Rattus norvegicus: one gene and its partners. The protein of the gene in region 4 interacts with the protein of the main gene of each other region in a biochemical or structural test. Links are inferred from orthologs where the notes say so. Each region holds a gene or a part of one and is shown on either strand. Other genes may lie near its edges. The genes, in order: Mapt, Eno1, Faslg and Fyn.

What was found.
Region 1: of the proteins of Fyn (region 4) and Mapt, one has a biochemical effect on the other in vitro, tested with the Homo sapiens proteins (10 studies listed by BioGRID and IntAct, with this or other methods). The link is inferred for Rattus norvegicus from reciprocal best matches to the Homo sapiens genes FYN and MAPT.
Region 2: of the proteins of Fyn (region 4) and Eno1, one has a biochemical effect on the other in vitro, tested with the Homo sapiens proteins (2 studies listed by BioGRID). The link is inferred for Rattus norvegicus from reciprocal best matches to the Homo sapiens genes FYN and ENO1.
Region 3: the proteins of Fyn (region 4) and Faslg form a complex in vitro, tested with the Homo sapiens proteins (4 studies listed by BioGRID and IntAct, with this or other methods). The link is inferred for Rattus norvegicus from reciprocal best matches to the Homo sapiens genes FYN and FASLG.

What each region holds. Positions count from the first base shown.
Region 1 is NC_086028.1:89,637,245-89,641,449, reverse strand, and holds the start of Mapt (microtubule-associated protein tau), read right to left. Parts: upstream 2,826-4,205; 5' UTR 2,695-2,825; intron 1-2,694. UniProt on the Homo sapiens protein: Promotes microtubule assembly and stability, and might be involved in the establishment and maintenance of neuronal polarity.
Region 2 is NC_086023.1:166,002,133-166,006,204, reverse strand, and holds the start of Eno1 (alpha-enolase), read right to left. Parts: upstream 2,845-4,072; 5' UTR 2,733-2,844; intron 1,485-2,732; exon of another isoform or gene 1,433-1,484; intron 777-1,432; 5' UTR 768-776; coding exon 683-767; intron 1-682. UniProt on the Homo sapiens protein: Glycolytic enzyme the catalyzes the conversion of 2-phosphoglycerate to phosphoenolpyruvate. In addition to glycolysis, involved in various processes such as growth control, hypoxia tolerance and allergic responses.
Region 3 is NC_086031.1:76,692,665-76,696,693, forward strand, and holds the start of Faslg (tumor necrosis factor ligand superfamily member 6), read right to left. Parts: upstream 2,840-4,029; 5' UTR 2,767-2,839; coding exon 2,428-2,766; intron 1,742-2,427; coding exon 1,696-1,741; intron 1-1,695. UniProt on the Homo sapiens protein: Cytokine that binds to TNFRSF6/FAS, a receptor that transduces the apoptotic signal into cells. Involved in cytotoxic T-cell-mediated apoptosis, natural killer cell-mediated apoptosis and in T-cell development.
Region 4 is NC_086038.1:44,321,476-44,325,522, reverse strand, and holds the start of Fyn (tyrosine-protein kinase Fyn), read right to left. Parts: upstream 2,860-4,047; 5' UTR 2,783-2,859; coding exon of another isoform or gene 2,750-2,782; intron 2,571-2,749; exon of another isoform or gene 1-2,570. UniProt on the Homo sapiens protein: Non-receptor tyrosine-protein kinase that plays a role in many biological processes including regulation of cell growth and survival, cell adhesion, integrin-mediated signaling, cytoskeletal remodeling, cell motility, immune response and axon guidance.

The DNA of each region.
Region 1 (4,205 bases), on a different chromosome or scaffold from region 4:
TCTGCAGTAGGATCATGCAGCAACCCGACGATCTTCCATTGACAACTCGAGCCTTGGAGAGCACAGTACCTCACTCGACCCCTCAACACAGTGCAAAATGGGAGAGAGTTCGAAGCGCGTGCGTGGTCCGAGCTTTGTTTCTGCGCTGAGTGAAATGTTCTCCCCCTCCCGCTGATCTTCCACCTACAGAACTGTGACACCTTTGCCCAACCGGTCGCTATTGACAGCCTCCCTCCCAGGCTCCCCTTTTCAGCGTCTACCCCAAGAGCCTGGCTTCTTCCAGATTAAGAATCCTGCTTCCAGCAGCCCGTCGTGTGGTGAGAGATGGGTCATATTTGAACCTATCTTTCAGATGCTCATGAAATCTCTGCGGGGCAGGCTCAGCCACGACGCCACAGCCTCAGGCCGCGGTTTGACTCGGAGAGGGCGTTCCTACCCCAGCCGAGACATTTTCAGAAATGCACATCAATCTAGGCAGCCTATGTGGGCAATTCGGCCCTTAAGGAGCTCGTGGGTCTCAAAACTGCTCGCCCGCACCAGTATTCAGCGGTAGAATTAACCAGAAAACCTCGAGCTTACTGTAGGGTGTGGAGGCTGATACCTGTTTGCTTTCTATCCCTCTCTGGTTTCAAGGGCTGTCGTACATGTGGACTTTTACGTGAAAGCCCCTCATTTTAGTAATATTAATAAAATAATATCAGTACGCTTATAATAAAAATACACTAGCATCTATCTGGATGGCTGTGGTTCTCAGTGCCCGAAAGAATGATGCTCGTCTTAGGGATGAGGGGCTCCTTGCTCGCGTCTTCTGGCACCATCAGACTACCCCAGGGTTCTGAATCTCTGCGGAGTAAGGGGCGGGAGGGGGGCGGGGTAACGCCTAGAGGTTCCTCCTCTGGCTGGTGTGGTTCCTATGGCAACCCCTAAACCCCACTCTGTGGGTTGGGAGGGATGGGTGTGGCCGCAGCACCCCAGGGGATCTCATACCCTTTCCTCACACTCTCCCACCGGGAGAGGCAACAGGGTTCAAAGGTGGCGGTGGGGGAGGGGGAGTCGAGCTTGCGGAATCTCCCCATTCCCGAGGGTTAGCTGGCTCCCCTAGCAGTGAAACACGATGGGGTGTGGTCCTCGAGACCGCCTGCCTGGGTGTGGGGAGAGATGTGCTTCCTCTGAGGATTCCTACTCACGAGAGTCCATCTCGAATCTCACCCATGTGGCTCTGGGTCGAACTGGGGAGAGGGCTGCGCGGGGTCATGTCCGTACCATGCGTGCCCTGGGGGTTGTGACTAGACCCTAGCAAGTCTGTAGATCCAACAAAGGGTCTGAAATGAGTGGCGAAAAAAAGGATGGAGTTGCTCAGAGCTCGTAGGCAAATACCCTCGTCGAATGAAAAGCTCCCCGCCCCCCGTAAAAAAAAAAAAAAAAAAAAGGGCTGAGAGCGCAGATCCTAAATCACAAGACGAACAAAGCAAGGAGCTCCCCTAGACCACCGCAGGTGAACGCTCGGGTGCGCACGGCTGCAGAAGCAAAACGCCAAGGTTTCCGTGTTCGTTACCCTCCTGCTCCTTAACATGGGTCCAAGCCGGGTCCTCCAAAGCCCGGCCACAGCTCTTGGCATGCTACGATAGAGACGTGACTCGCCGCGAAAAGATGGCACCTCGCGTTCAGAAGGGGAAAAAACCGGAGGAGGGGTGGCAGCGGGAGGAGACACAACCTACTCCCCCCTTCTCGCCCACCCAGGTCCACACCCACTGCCGCAGTGAGGGGCGAGCCCTGCGCGCCAGCCCGCGCCTCCGGCAGGGAGCGCCGCACACGCCGGGAACTCAGCGCAGAACGCAGAGAAAGAAACGCGCCCCGAAAATGCACCTGCAGCCCTCATGTGGGTCTATGCTGGCTGCCACGCTGCGCGCCCTCGAGCTGGGAGCCGCTGCTGGCCAGCCCGCTGACACCGCGAGGCCAGGTGACCCCTGCCTCTTCCAGCTCCCACATTGCGATCCGCGCACCACCTTCTCTCGGGCACGGCGCTGCCCCTGTCACTGTACCAAGCGCGCGCAGGGGGAAGGGCAGCTAAAGTGACAGCGCCTGGACCCCTCCCCATCCTCCCAGCCCCCAAATGTCCCCTTCCAGCTTCTGAAGGAGGAAAAGGGGAGGGGGCGGGCCACCGCCTTAAATCAGGGCCAGTGAAGGCCGTGTCAGAATCACTGTCAGGGAGGTGGAGGAGAGGCATGAAGGCGGTCATCTTTTCTAGAACCCGATCCACACCTTCCTTAGGGCTGATGGCAATCGAGGCAGAGAAATCCGATTTTAGATTTGGTTTCGGGGGTCGTCGTTGGACCCCCATACACACACGCAGACCCACGCCCATTGCGGCAAAAAGCTGATATCTAGATTATAGAACAACCCCTTCCCTAGGTCACCGTCATCCGCGCCCCACCCTGCGGGCACAGCCTCCCCCTCTTTTGCGCAGAGCCGATGGTGCGGACCCCAGCACTCATAGATACACGCATTCGCCCTCGTGCGTGCATCTCTTGCACGCGTTCCTTCCCAGCTCTCCAGCGCCGAGGGCGCAGAGAGGCCCCCGCCGTTGCGCCTGACTGATGCCCAGCGCCCTAAATCCACCTCTGGGGCGAGGGGCGGCAGGAGGATGGCGCACAGGGGCAGAAGGGGACCGGATTTCAGAGCTGCGGCGCTTACCTGATAATCGACAGGAGGCGAGGACAGAAGAGGACAGCGGAGGGGAAGGTGGTTGTGGCGGCGGCGACAGCAGAAGGTGGGCGGTGGCGCCGGCGCTGCTGCTGGTGCTGGAGCTGGTGGGTGGCGGAGACTGTGAGCGCGCGCGCGGCCGAGAGAGCGCGTTCTCGAGGCCGGCGGGCAGCGCAGGCGCGAGCCACGGGAACGCGAACCTCCCCAGGGGAGGGGCGGGCAGCGAGGCCTGTGTGGGCACCTCCCCTTCCGGCCGCCAGGGGGCGCGCGCGAACGCCCCACGCCCTCCCCTCTCCGCGCCGCCCGGCTCGCCCCTCTCCGCGCTTCCCTTCCCGGGTCCCGCCACGCCTCGGGCCGCGGTGCTGACCGCCGCGCGCACGCGCGTTCCGTGGCGCACGCGCACCCCGGCCGCCCGGGGCTGCAGCCTTTGTCTAGTCCAGGGGTCTCCTCCCTCGGTCCCCGCAGAGTCCAGGCAGAACGGTGTGCGGGTCGTCGTCCGCTTTTCAGTTCATCCTCGCTGGCTCTCCAGGTGGTAAACCGTTGGACCCCAAGTGCTACAGGCAGCTCGAGTCTCCCAAAATGTGGCCCTCCATATAGAGCGCACTTTCCCAGAGGCAGCTGTTTGCTTGCTTTTCTTTTTTTCTTTTTTTGGTTAATAGCCAAAGTGAATGATTTCTTTGAAGAACCCTCTTGAAACAGATTAAGTTGATCGTAATACACTTTAGAATTTTCCTGGAAAAAAAATTTTAAGTCAAGGAGCATTCAAACCCATTAGGTATCTTAACTGTGACCCTAGGGAAGAAAATTCTTAAAATAGGAAAGTTCTAATGCTTACTGCACTGCAAGACATTTTCACAGAGTTATTTTTATACGGTTTATTGAGACACCTTTGTACAGCCTGAGAGCTGAATTTTTAAGGTGCCTGCTGGAGATGGCCACCTGCTGGATGTCAGGCTTCCGGTTGGAACTACCCACTAATTCTCATTCCAGTCACCTAAGGTGTGGGCTGTGGCTCTAGCTTCTTTTCTTACCTCCCCAAAGCTCAAAGCTCTTGGACAGCTGGAGCCTGTTCAAATGCAAGGAAGAGAGGCAGGCACCTCCTGCCAGAGAGGTGAAAACTTGATTTGAAGCATAAATTTGCATGCTTTTTTTTTTTTTCAAGGCAGGTTCTCACTATGTTGCCCTGACTGGCTTAGGGCTCACAGAGATCCTCCTGCCTGCCTCTGCCTCTAGAGTGCTGAGATTCAAGGTGTACACTGCTATCCCAGCTATTGTTTAAAAACCTCCAATGTTGTGCCTGCTCCGTGTGCTGGTTCACATATGTAATTCCAGCATTCATGTAGACTGAGGCATGAGGTCAAGATCAGCCTGGGCTACATAGTGGAATCCAAGCCAGCCTGGATTGCAGGGTGAAAGTGGGTCTCAAAACAAACAAACAAACAAACAAACAAACAAACACCTGGGCTGGTGAGATGGCTCAGTTAAGATCATTTGCTGCACTT
Region 2 (4,072 bases), on a different chromosome or scaffold from region 4:
TGAGCTCTGTAAGACGTTGCTACATCTTCCCCAGGCCTCTTTCCTATGGCACCCACTACATGCATCTCTACATCTAGATGCTGGAATCAGCAGGGGTGGGCTTTTTTTTTGTTTTGTCTCTGAGTAGTAGAAACAGGGCCTTGCTATGTAGCCCAGGCTAGTCTCAAAACTGGCAATCCTCCCTCCTGAGCAGGCCCAAGTGCTGAGATTTATGGTAGTCGCTGCCACACCCAGCCAATCTCTCCTTGCAATGCTGTGATTTAAATTTAGGACTTCCCACATATTAAGCAAATGCTCTGCCAAACTATATCCCCACTCCCTTATAACACACGAGTTCCTCACCATGGGTAGCTTGGCCTAGAGGAAAAAGCAGAGCTTCCGGGCTGTCTCCTTCCTTTCATGTGGGGAGAGAAGGCTTCCCCCTCCATTGGCTGATCCGATCAGGAGGCCAGGCTTCTTCAGGAGCCAGGGCTTAAGCCCTCCCTTACTTCCCTGCCCCGGTGACCTACCCAACCCACATCCTGTCTTAAATACCAAGAAGCAAAGCCAGACATGGTGGCAGATGGCTCAGTGGGTGGAAGGCTCAGAGGGATCAGAGTAGATCAGACTCTGCCTTGCTTCCCCATCACATTATCAATAAACTGTGGTGCAAGAGACCAGGAAATAATGTGGGTTCGTGTACCTTTTGCGGTGTAGAGATCCACCTCAACGGTGGGATTCCCGCGGGAGTCAAAGATCTCTCTGGCATGGATCTTGAGAATGGACATGGTGAAGTTCTGTAGGGGGAAAATAGTTCATATATTACCCATAAACTCTAATATAGAAGGTTTATTTATCCCAAGAGATCACCCCCAAGATCCTGGACCTGGACAGAGAACAAGTGGGCTACGTACAGAAGTCACTTATAGCCCTCTGAAGCTAAGTGTTCTGTGGGCAATTAGGTAAATACAAACTGGACAGAACTATGTTCTGGCTGCGCAGCGAAGTGGGAAGTAACAGAGAAGGCAGGTCAGCGATTAAACAGACCTGTAGACCGGAGGGAAATGCAACATTGTGAAGCAGGGTGATTGTGGAAACAGAAACCCCAATTCATCAAGTTGTACCCATGGCAAGGGCAGAACATTCAGCAGACACAGATTTGATAACCAGTAAGAAATTGTGAGAGGAAGGCAGAATCCCAAACTCCTTGGCTGGTGGTCATCAGTACTGCCATTCTCTAGCCCGGTGGCACATGCAGGCTAGATGCCTAACACGTGGGCGGTCCTGGGTTCAATGGCCGCCATATTTAGGCAAGAGTTGACTTCTATTTCAAAGGGAGACCTTGTCTCGCCTTTAAAAGGTACCCAAAGTAGATGTCTAATTAGAAAACACCCCAGAGAAAGAGGATATTGAGCAACAAACAGCAAGTCTAAAAAGAAGGTCCCTTTCTTACTTCTTCCCCAGCAGGCTTTCCAAGAAAGGAATCTACCAAACGGCTTCTAGAACTAAATTGGATGAGACATTAAGACAATTAGCATTCGGAAGCTGTTATCTAAATAGGTTCCCTACACCTTTTCTGGTGAGGTCAAGGAAGCAAAGGCATACTTTTTGTTTCAATATAAGTTACTTCTGTGCTTGTCTTCTCTAAGACAAAGGACCTTTATTCACTAACCAGGAATAAAGTACCCACTTTTTATCCACTGTTATAAAATCTCACACCTGCACTTCCTATGTAGGCCAAGCTGACCCGAACTCGGTTATCCCCATCTTCAGCATCCCTAAGCGCTAGATTTTCAAGTGTGCATCACCAGGCCTGGTTCCTTTATGGGGGCGCGGGAGCCACGTGCCACCGCGGCGCTCTGCAGAGGCTTTATAACCTGTAGGAGTTGGTCCCCCCTTCCACCATTTGCATCTAGCTTGGATCTTTAAGCTAGGCAGCAAAGGTCTCTAATCAAAGAAAACCTCACCCACTCGCTCTATCGGGATTGAACGCCGGACTAAGGGCAGGAAAGTGGATCTAGAGGTCAGTCAGGCTTATCACCTCAGACTGGCTCTGGCCTACCCCGAAAGCAAGTCAGCTAAGGGACCACATTGTCTAGGCAAGAAAGGACAGGAAGTTTTCTTACGACTAGTAGCCACCCAGTAAGCCCGCAGCTCTTGCCTAACTCGGTCGAGGTCTCCTGAGGGCTTGCTTCCCACTTATTCAACGGGACTGCTGCAATTTCCTCTACTACAAGTACCTAACCGACACTCACTGGTCAGTAATATTCCAGAGCAGAGATGGGTTGGACCACTCCCGCCCAGTGACGCTCGATTGCGGTTCAGGAGACACAGCCCCAGCAGGATCTACTAGGGTGGGGCGCTCTGCCTCTTGGGCATCCTTATTTATCGCCCTTCCATTTTGAGAAAAAATTTAATGAACACCGGGGCGGGGGTTAAGTCGCTCTCTCCCTCAAAAACCTTCCACTTAGCTACATAGAAACAAGTACTTTTTTATTCTCCACGGCCGCGATTATCCGTGGCCTGCATTTACTGTTGTCCGCTTGGGTACCCGGTTACATTCCAACCCTGAAGCTCGGTGGTGACTGCGAGGGCCTGCACCTCCACCCTCCAAGAGCCTGCGTCCTTCCACGAGGCTGACCCGAGTGCTCCCAGGGTAGCGGCTCGCGCCCAGAGTAGGGGGTGACCGAGCTCACCGGGTCACCAAGAGGAGTTCCTAGGCGAGCTGTGCCCAAGGGGAACACGGACCATACCTGGCAGTAGGATCGCTGCGGAGGAAGGAAAGAGGGTCCTGGAGACACCGAAGGGAGTCTTAAGGACAAACGTGAGCGCGACTCGGTACCGGAGCAGCACTAAGCGCCTCCCACTCCGACTTCCTAGCCTGCTCGTTAGGCCCCACCCACTTCTCCCCTTTCGAGTCCGCCCACCCTCCGTGCCGCCACTCCATTGGCTCTGCCTGCCGTCACTCCACGAGAAGAGCGTGACCAAGGCGGCCGCTTGGCCTGCCCGGTCTAGGGGCAAGGGCACGGGGGCGGGGGTTGTCCTTCCTGGCTGGCCTCGCCTGCCTGAGGCATAGGCGGAATGCCGGGCGAGCCTCCGGCTGGGAACCTGGGGCCTAGCTGAGGGTCTACAGAGCCCGGATGCCGGGCGGGGCGGGGCTGCACGGCAGGCATGAGGGCTTGAGCCCGCGGCACGTACTCCGAGTCCTACACGCACTCGGCCGGGCTGCAGCGCCTCACGTCCGGCCCACGACCTTGCTGATGACCTTTAGGGCTGGGCCTTCCTGTGGGCCTCCCCCCCCGCCGGGAGGTGCTGGAGCCCCCGGCGGTGTGGAAACGTTGATGCGCGGCCTAGGGGCCTCACTCCCGCGTGGAATTGACGGAGGGGGGGGCATGTGCTACTGCGCCTGCGCACTGGGCGCCCCCCGCCTCCACCAAGTCTGGTCCTGGCTCTCTGGTGCCATCTGCCAAGGTGACCCCGTCCTTTTGTCCTTTCTGTAATGAGTCTCAGGCCGAGTTACCCAAAGGAAAGTAAACTTTCCCTTAATATTACCTACTCATTTGTTATTGTGTGGAGGATACCGAATCCTACCGTCCAACTCATGCTAAGTAAAGGCAGTACCTTTGTGCTACACCCACCCAGCCACTCCACCCTACTCTAGAACTTTCCCTGTTTTCTGCGATGTGCTAGCTCAGTGTGGATTCATTCTCTATCTCTGTTACTGTCCCCTTCTTGAAAGATTTAATAATACCTTTCCCCCATCAGTGGTCTAGATGAAACCTCCCCGGACTCTTCAGATCCATAATCGTGATTAGAGTTTGGGGTTTGATGTAGTCCCGAGGCATTTCTCAAAGCTTTAGACTGATACTACAAAGTGATGTGACAAATGTCCGGAAGGGGTGGGTGGAGCCATTTTACTTTTCTGATAAAGAAAATAAAGGTGGTGTTTAACCACAGCTGTCGGGAGGCAGAGTCTGGCAGATCTCTGAGTTCAAGGCCTGCCAGGTCTACATAGTGAATTCTAAGTTAGATAGGACAAAGCAATGAGACCTTGTCTCAAAAAAAAAAAAAAAAAGAAAAAGAAAAAGAAAGA
Region 3 (4,029 bases), on a different chromosome or scaffold from region 4:
AACGGTTGTCGTTTTATCAGAAAGCGATGAACACTCCCAGCCAAAAGAACCCTTCGGTGATGCGATGACAAGGTAGACTGACAGTTCAAGACCTCGGTATGAACTTTCTTAGTGTTCTTCAGAATTCTTACAGCAATCTCCATGCATGCTGGATGAAACTTGTGCCAAACGTGGCTTTTCCTCTCTCTCTCTCTCTCTCTCTCTCTCTCTCTCTCTCTCTCTCTCATTTGATAATCTTTGGGGTTTTTTTCTTTTTATGAATTTGATTGAAGAAATAAATACTCCTTTTTTTAAATAAGCTCCTCTTAATAGTAAAGTTTCAATTTTTGACGTTCTTGTGATGGTTTATCAATTTCTGAAGATAACCACTGGGTAGGCGACCTGACTCATCTGTTCATTTGACTTCTCTTCACTAAAATGATTCCATCGAGTGGGTGAAAATGAGTGAGTGCCATCTGTTTCATAAGCCACGCTCCACTGATTTTCAAAATGATTTCATTTCAGAAATCCTGAGAAGTTTCATTTTTCTAACAAGTCATTTTCCACTGTGCCTGTGTAAACTGGGCTCTGGTCCTTAGAGACTTGAATGCAGAGCTGAAAACCAGAGCACACCATAGTGACCCCTGAAAGAGCTTATATCCCCTTCCTTCCTTCCTTCCTTCCTTCCTTCCTTCCTTCCTTCCTTCCTGTCTCTCTCTGTCTGTCTCTCTCTCTCCCTCTCTCTCTCCCTCTCCGTCTCCCTCTCCCTTCCTCCCTTTCTTTCTTCCTTCTTTCTTTCCTTCCTTCCTTTCCATTAATTAATTTATTTATTCACTTTACATCCGGGTTGCAGCCACTCCCCCATCCTCCCTCACACAGTCCCTCCTCCTACCCCTCCTCTTCTCCTTTGAGAAGCGGGAGCGACCCCCACCCCCATCCCCCCCCCCCCGATATCAATCCACTCTGGCACATCAAGTCACTCAGGATTAGGCACATCCTCTCCCACTGAGGCCAGACATGGCAGCCCAGTTAGGGGAGTGGGATCCACAGGAAGGCAACAGATTCAGGGACAGCCCCCACTCCAGTTGTTGAGGGACCCACATGAAGACCAAGCCGCACTGAGTGTGGAGCCAGCACTCCTTTTGATGGAAGGTTCGGTTTTCTTCAGTTATTAGGATAAAACTGTTGTGTTGCCCTTGCAAGAGACACCAGCTTTGCATTTGCTTCTCATTTCTCAGCCGTTATTGAAAGGTGGGAGTTTCTCTGTGCGTTGTAAAGTCTTAATAGATAGCAAGGCGTCAGGGGACTGTTCTCTTAGCCCCAGTTTCATACCAGGGAAGCTGGGCATTGAACCTAATTGGTCTAATATTGTGCATCTAGTATTTTTGCCTCTGTCCTTAGGAGTCACAGTCACCACAATGTAAGATGGGACCAAGATATCCATGGAAGGAGCCAAGGGAAAAGATCCAGGGCTGTATGTGTGCTCCTTTCCAGTCAAGTCCAAATTCTATTGAGTTACGTTCGATATTCATTCAGATACACTGATATTGAGCAGTAAACTACCTTTTCACACTGAACAAAGAGTTAAAAGTTCCTCAGGATTTTGTGCCTAGGAATCATGAGCCCAAGAATGGGACGGAATCTCAAGCATCCTCACAACTTTGTTGAGTGTTGAGTTCCTCCGGGAACTCAAAAGACAGACATAAAAGTACTTACCTATTTGCTTTTCAAAAGATGATACTCTAAGGCTGTGGTTGGTGAACTAGTGGGGGGGAAAAAAGAGTCATAGAATAAATGTGGAGTTATTTAAGCCAAGGAGGCAGAAGTCACAGCAGTCCATAGAAAGAGGACTCAAATATGTCAGACCCTGACTGAGTTAGAGTTTGGCCATGCAATTGTATCTAGAGTTATAGTAAGGCTTCTAAGTCTTTTCAAAGAGATTTATTTACACTTCTGAACAAGATTTAAAGTTTATCTTCTTCCTTGAATCACTAAATATGAAGCAATAAAAAGTTCATCAAACACCATTGACAAGTGAGAGAAGAATAATTATTTGCTTCGAATTGTCTAGAAGGTGGAAAATAACTTCCTTTGAGCAGTGGTTCTCAAGGGAACACCGCAGCTCTTTAATACAGTTCCTCATGTTGTGGTGACCCCCAGCCATAAAATGGCTCCCCCACTAAGGGGTCATGACCCACAGGTTGAGTGAGGATCACTCTCTTTGAGGGAGTGAACGCCTGCTTCTCCAACTAGAAAGAAGAGACTATAACAACTCTTTTCTAAAAGCGAGGGGATCAATAAGATCTTTGCCATTCAAAACAAAACAACAGCAAAAACCTCAAATCATTGCAAACAACACAGTGGCCCACATGGGCCATAGCAAGTCCCTACTCCCACACAGCAGAGTCCAGGAACTCAAGGGCCTATTAACCCATGTGCTAGACTTACCTCACGGAGTTCTGCCAGTTCCTTCTGTAGATGAAAGAGTTGATACATTCCTAACCCCATTCCAACCAGAGCCACCAGCACCATGAAAAATATCACCGGTAGCCACAGCTCTATGTTGTCCTTCTTCTTTAGAGGGCTTAGTGGAGGCAGCGGGGGTGGTTGGGAAGGCGGTGGTAGTGGTGATGGAGGTGGTGGTGGAGGCGGTGGTCTCCTTTGTCCTGGCCCTCTAGGCCCAGAGGATGGACAAGAAAAAACTGACCCTGGAGGAGCCCAAGGAGAAGTGGCACTGCTGTCTACCCAGTAGATCTGGGGACATGGGTAATTCACGGGCTGCTGCATGGCACCCAGCCCCAGGAAAGGGTTTCCTCCTCTCAGTCTTGTGGAGACTGAAGTGTCAAGGACAGGACTCTGATGCTGACTGCTCCAGAGAAGGTAAGTGAGTTTTCTTTATAAAGTTTCCACAGTCAAGGGAAACACCTCTCTCCAGTTCTCTTCTCTTTGCTTCTCCGTGAGACACCCACTCATTTGCATCTGAAGCTGAGAAGCCTTAAAAGAAAAAAAAAAGCTCACAGCAACCCCAGGAAGTTTCCGCCCACAAATTTCTGACGAAAACTCTTCGAAGTTCCAATTGGCATCTCTGTGCTCACTGGTAAACCAGGCTTACCTGCCTGAGGTCCCACTCAGCAAATCAGCGCTGGATACCCCTAGAGGACATTAGCTATTCCACAGCTGCAAGACCTGTGCTATGGGGTGTGTCCTGTGAGGGCTGTTGGTGCTAAGGCACTGGGAAAAGACCAAGGCGTTTGGCTAGGGAAGCGATCTCTACAATCCGAGCACAGGGAATTTAATCCTCAATTGCTGTCCTTCCCTCTACCGAGCCCCCATTTCATAGTTGAGAGGGTAAAAGTCGCCCCACCCATTCCACAGATTGGATCAGAGGTTACAAACCACCACCAGGCCCATATATCCTTGGTACCACAGGATTGCTTTCCTATCACCAATGTTTTTGGTTCCCTTAGTTGCCCTCTTTCAAAATTGAGATCGCACGCAATAAAAATGCGTACTTCTATTCTCTTTGGAAACAGAAGAGTAGGACACATCCCCTGGCCATCTCTGAACACCAGGCAGCCCTGCCCCCACTGCGCCTGCCTCCTATCCCACTTCCCCTTCCTACTCTGTAATCATTTAACTTCACAATCCCTATTCTGGTTACCAAATGAAACTTGAAGTGCCTAATTCAGAAGAGTTTGGGTAAGCGGTAAATAATTCTTTTCTATAGCAAGTGTACCTTAAGCATCGCACAGGACAGACTGAGCATTACTCAACATTTACAGCAAATTTATGCCTTTCTAAAAACTGACCACTCCCTAGGTTTGATTTCAGTCTTCTGGCCCCACATACACAGCATTTATGTATGCCTAACAACCTCTAAGAACTCAGCCTTGGTTCCCATCACTTCCCCATATAAACCATACAAATCCCAGTAAGTTCCTATACTCCACCTTTTTTTTGGGGGGGGGGCAACTCTACTCTTTAAGAGGTTTTAGTTTTTATCTTCTGCGTTGGGATGTCTGGGATGAGCACCTTACCTCTCTCGCCTAT
Region 4 (4,047 bases):
TGGGAGAACGGGACCCAGCATCACTCATTGTACAGGAGCAAGCCCCCTTCTGAGCAGAAACACACGTATGTGGTGCTATCACAGGGGCACAGACGAATCTCTTGTGTTTTTGTACCATGATACATTCTCAGGCCTACTATAGCTACTAACATGAGTCTTCTTAAAAGACGCTGGGTACGTACGTACGTATGTATCGTTGATCTGATTCATATTTGTCGCTCATTAAATGAAGCCACCAAGTAATACCAACCAGAGTAAAACCCAATGAAAATGAGACAAGCCAGATTAGGTTCTCGACCCAGTGGCAGAAATGGACAATAAACAAAAACAGACTCTGACGATGGTGTTGGGAGACAAATTTGGAGACATGGTGGCTTGGCTGGAGCAGAGAAGCCGGTGAAGGTTTCAGAATAGAGACAACATTTGTGCTGGGCCTGGGCTTCAGAACATCAGAAGAGGTGGGGACTCCAGACCGTCAGAAAATAGAGGGCATTTGCTCACACTCATTTAACCTTATTAATAAGTGCCTCTGACTTGGTCAGTACAGTGTGAGTTTATTGTGTATTGACTTTCCTTTCTGGGTTTGGCATCCCAACAAACCAGCCTTTGTTTCCAGAGAGCATTCATTATTAACCCTTCTGCTGTATGTATGGTGTGTGTGTGTGTGTGTGTGTGTGTGTGTGTGTGTGTATGTGTGTATATGTGTGTACATGTATGTATGTGTGTATATGTGTATCTGTGTGTGTATATATATGTGTGTATATGTGTATATGTGTGTATATGTGTGTACATGTATGTATGTGTATATATGTGTATCTGTGTATGTATATGTGTGTGCATGTATGTATGTGTATGTATGTATATGTGTGTACATGTATGTATGTATGTTCCACAATGGATGTCAGCTTAATTCATCACAACTCTTTTCAGATAAAACAGCTAAAAAGTAAACTTGGGACAGTTCCGTTACTTTGAACACTTGAGGCCCCACAACATGATCCAGGAATCAGCAGACTACACCAAAGTTTCTGACACACTATGTCTGAGATTTACATGAATATCTCTACCTTAAGAGGAACATCATGGGTTCTGAATCCAGTCATCTACACCCCCGGCTCATAGTCAGCTAGCCCCAAAGCTTGAGAGTTGAAACCACTTCCTCCCAAGTCTGAGGGCATGGTACTCGTGGGGCAGGGGCAGGGGCAGGGAGACTGAGCACAAAGGGTGAAAACTACTGTAAGCTGCTTTGGTGCTGAGAGGATGTGGGCATCCAAAGTCACCCTTGAACCAGACAAGTGGTGCCTCCAGGGTCTTCCGAACGCCAGCCCAAGTGCGTTCATGCCACAGCCCCGGTCACTTAAATAAAAGAGCATAGCTGGACACCACAGCACATTTCAAAAGACTTCATTCAGCAAAGCGGCCTTGGACTTTAGAGAATCCAGTCAGGCTGCCTCACTCTTGGTGAACTGATTCTGACTCAGACACAAAATTCTTCTGATCCCCCCACCCATTGATTTATCCTGTCTCAGGTATCAGTACCTATCCCCCAAGAAGAAAGGGGAGGAAAACGAGGGATGGAAGGAGGGTTCCTTGAAAGTATAGCAACTCCTAAAACAGCTGAAATAATTCCTCCCTTAAATAGGGGAAACTGCAGTTGCCACTCAATGCCACCACCCTGGGAATACAGCAAAATAAGTGCACCTGCCACCCGGGATCGGGAGCCTTCGTTTTTTGGTGAGTGTGGCAGAAAGGACTAGAGATCAACTGCTTCATCAGAAAGAAAGGGAAGCCCCAGGGATGAGACAAGAAGCATGGTGGTGCCTTGGGGACTTTATGTGTCTCTTTTCTATGAACTGAAAGGGCTCTTTGTGTCACACACACACACACACACACACACACACACACACACAGAGAGAGAGAGAGAGAGAGAGAGAGAGAGAGAGAGAGAGAGAGAGTCTGATTTATTAGAGGAAGGAGGGGCAAAATGGGTGATTTTATTATCCCTCCTCCCAGTGAGTCCCAGCCAATGCCTCCTGGGCCCAAGCTTGGTGGCCTCTTTCTAGCCCAGTCCCTGTGGCCTCAGAGATAAGAGAGCCTAGAGGAGACCAAACAAAACCATCTACCGACCTAGGGAAGTAGGGAGGAAATCCAGCGAGTCCAGAAGGGAGGAGGAATAAGCTTGAAAGCCGAAGGGGTGGGGGACAGAGGAAGAAAAGGCAAGGCCAGACACAGGGGAAAGGGGAAGGGTGGGTGGGTGGCAGCACAGGAAGGGTGAAGGGGAGGGTGGGGGAAGTGCAAGGGAGGTTCCAGAAATAGGCAGAAGGATGCGCTGGGGAAGGCAAGGGCCGCCGAGGGAGGAGGCCGGGAGGTGGAGGAGTGGGGCAGGGGTTGGGTGGGGAGGAAAGCAGCACCGGGCATCAATTATTAAGTGATTACATCATCCCTGACATTAAAACAACACACACAGCCCGGGTCCCCGCGGGGGGCTGCGAAAGGAGGGCGGAGGCGGAGCTGGGCCAACCTCGCCCCCAAGCCAATTCTTATTTTTTTCACCCGGCGCCTGCCGGCGGCCGAGGAATGGCACCCCGGTGCCCGCGCAGCCTCCGGGCGGCACCCCGCATCAGTGTCCTGCGTCGCGGGGCGCCCTGGAGGCTGCGCGGCGGGACCGCAGCGGGGGCAGCCCGTGCGGGGGCGCTGGGCCGGGCGTCTCCGCAGCATCCCGAGGCTCCGCGCATCCCCGGTCGCTTACCTGCGTGGCGTGGCGCTCGGTTCCGGAGCACATTCACATGGTCCTCTCCCCGCCCTCCTCCGGCGAGGCCCTGGCGGCTCCGGTGGCTCCGCGGCCGGGCCCAGGAGCTCGTGGGCCTCGCGAAGCGCCGAGGGGGCGGCGCCGGTGTCCCCGGCCCGGCAGCCCAGTCCCTCCCTGGCGCGGGCGGCGGCTTTGTGTGCGCCCGGGGAGTCCTCGGAGCGCTCCGGCTAGAGGCGGCCTCGCTGCGCTCTTGATCAGCGGGCGGGTCTCGGAGGCTCGGCGCACAGCGACCCCTCCTCCTCTCCGCGGAGCCCCCTCCCCGCCGGCTGCGCTCCTGACAGATGGCGCAACTGCACCGACGCGCCGCCGCCGCGGCTTCTCGCAGCTACTCTCGCTGATGCTCGGGCTGCTCCGGATCCCGAGGGGTTCGAGAGGGGGCGGGACACGCCCCGAGACTGTCAGTTCCTTCTGCCCTATCAAAGGGTCCGCTGAGGGCTGAGCGCAGTCAGCCATTGGTGCGCGCGTCGGAGGCGGGACGGCCATGGGTGGGGCCGCCGAGTGGGTTGAGCGTTACTGTGGTGGCGGGCAGCCTGGCGTGCGCAGGGCCACAGGGTGTGCGAGAGGATGCGAGGTTGAGGAGGAGAAGGAGGAGGTGTGTGTCTGAGGATCCTGTGGAGTTGCGAGTTGGTGGGGTGGACAGGAGAGAGCGCAGGGAACGAGCTGCTTTCCTACTTTGCTAGTGGAGACTGGCACCTGCCACTCGAGCCTCACAGCCATGGGAACCTATTTCTCCAAAGAAATAGGAGTGGGAGGATAAAGTGGAAAGGTGTTAAGAAGGGCGATGGCAAATTGGAGAAGTGAGGAGCAAAGTAGAGAAGTACCAGTGCAGAAACTGGGAAAGCTCGAACCAACAAATGCGCAACGAATAATAAGAAGAAGAAATTCATAATTTGCTAGTCTCATTTTCTTGAGCACCCAAATATGTTCATGTTCACACACACACATCAGGAAACGTGAGAGGAAGTATGACTAAAATTCAAGGGGCCTGCAACAAAGAACCTCCAAACCACACAGTAGAGATGCTTGGGCGCTTTCCTAGCTCTTTAGAGTAGCCATTGCCTGTCTGGCTTCTCGATGCATTCAAACTTCTCTTGGTTTTCTTGTTTTCATTGGTGGCTGGGCTGAGCTTTTTACTCAGATTTTCCTTGATGAAATAATAACTGGGTTGGTATGCAGTCGGTCTTTATTTCCGATTCAGCTTTTCTATGGCAGGATGTAACTTCATAAAAAGAAACACT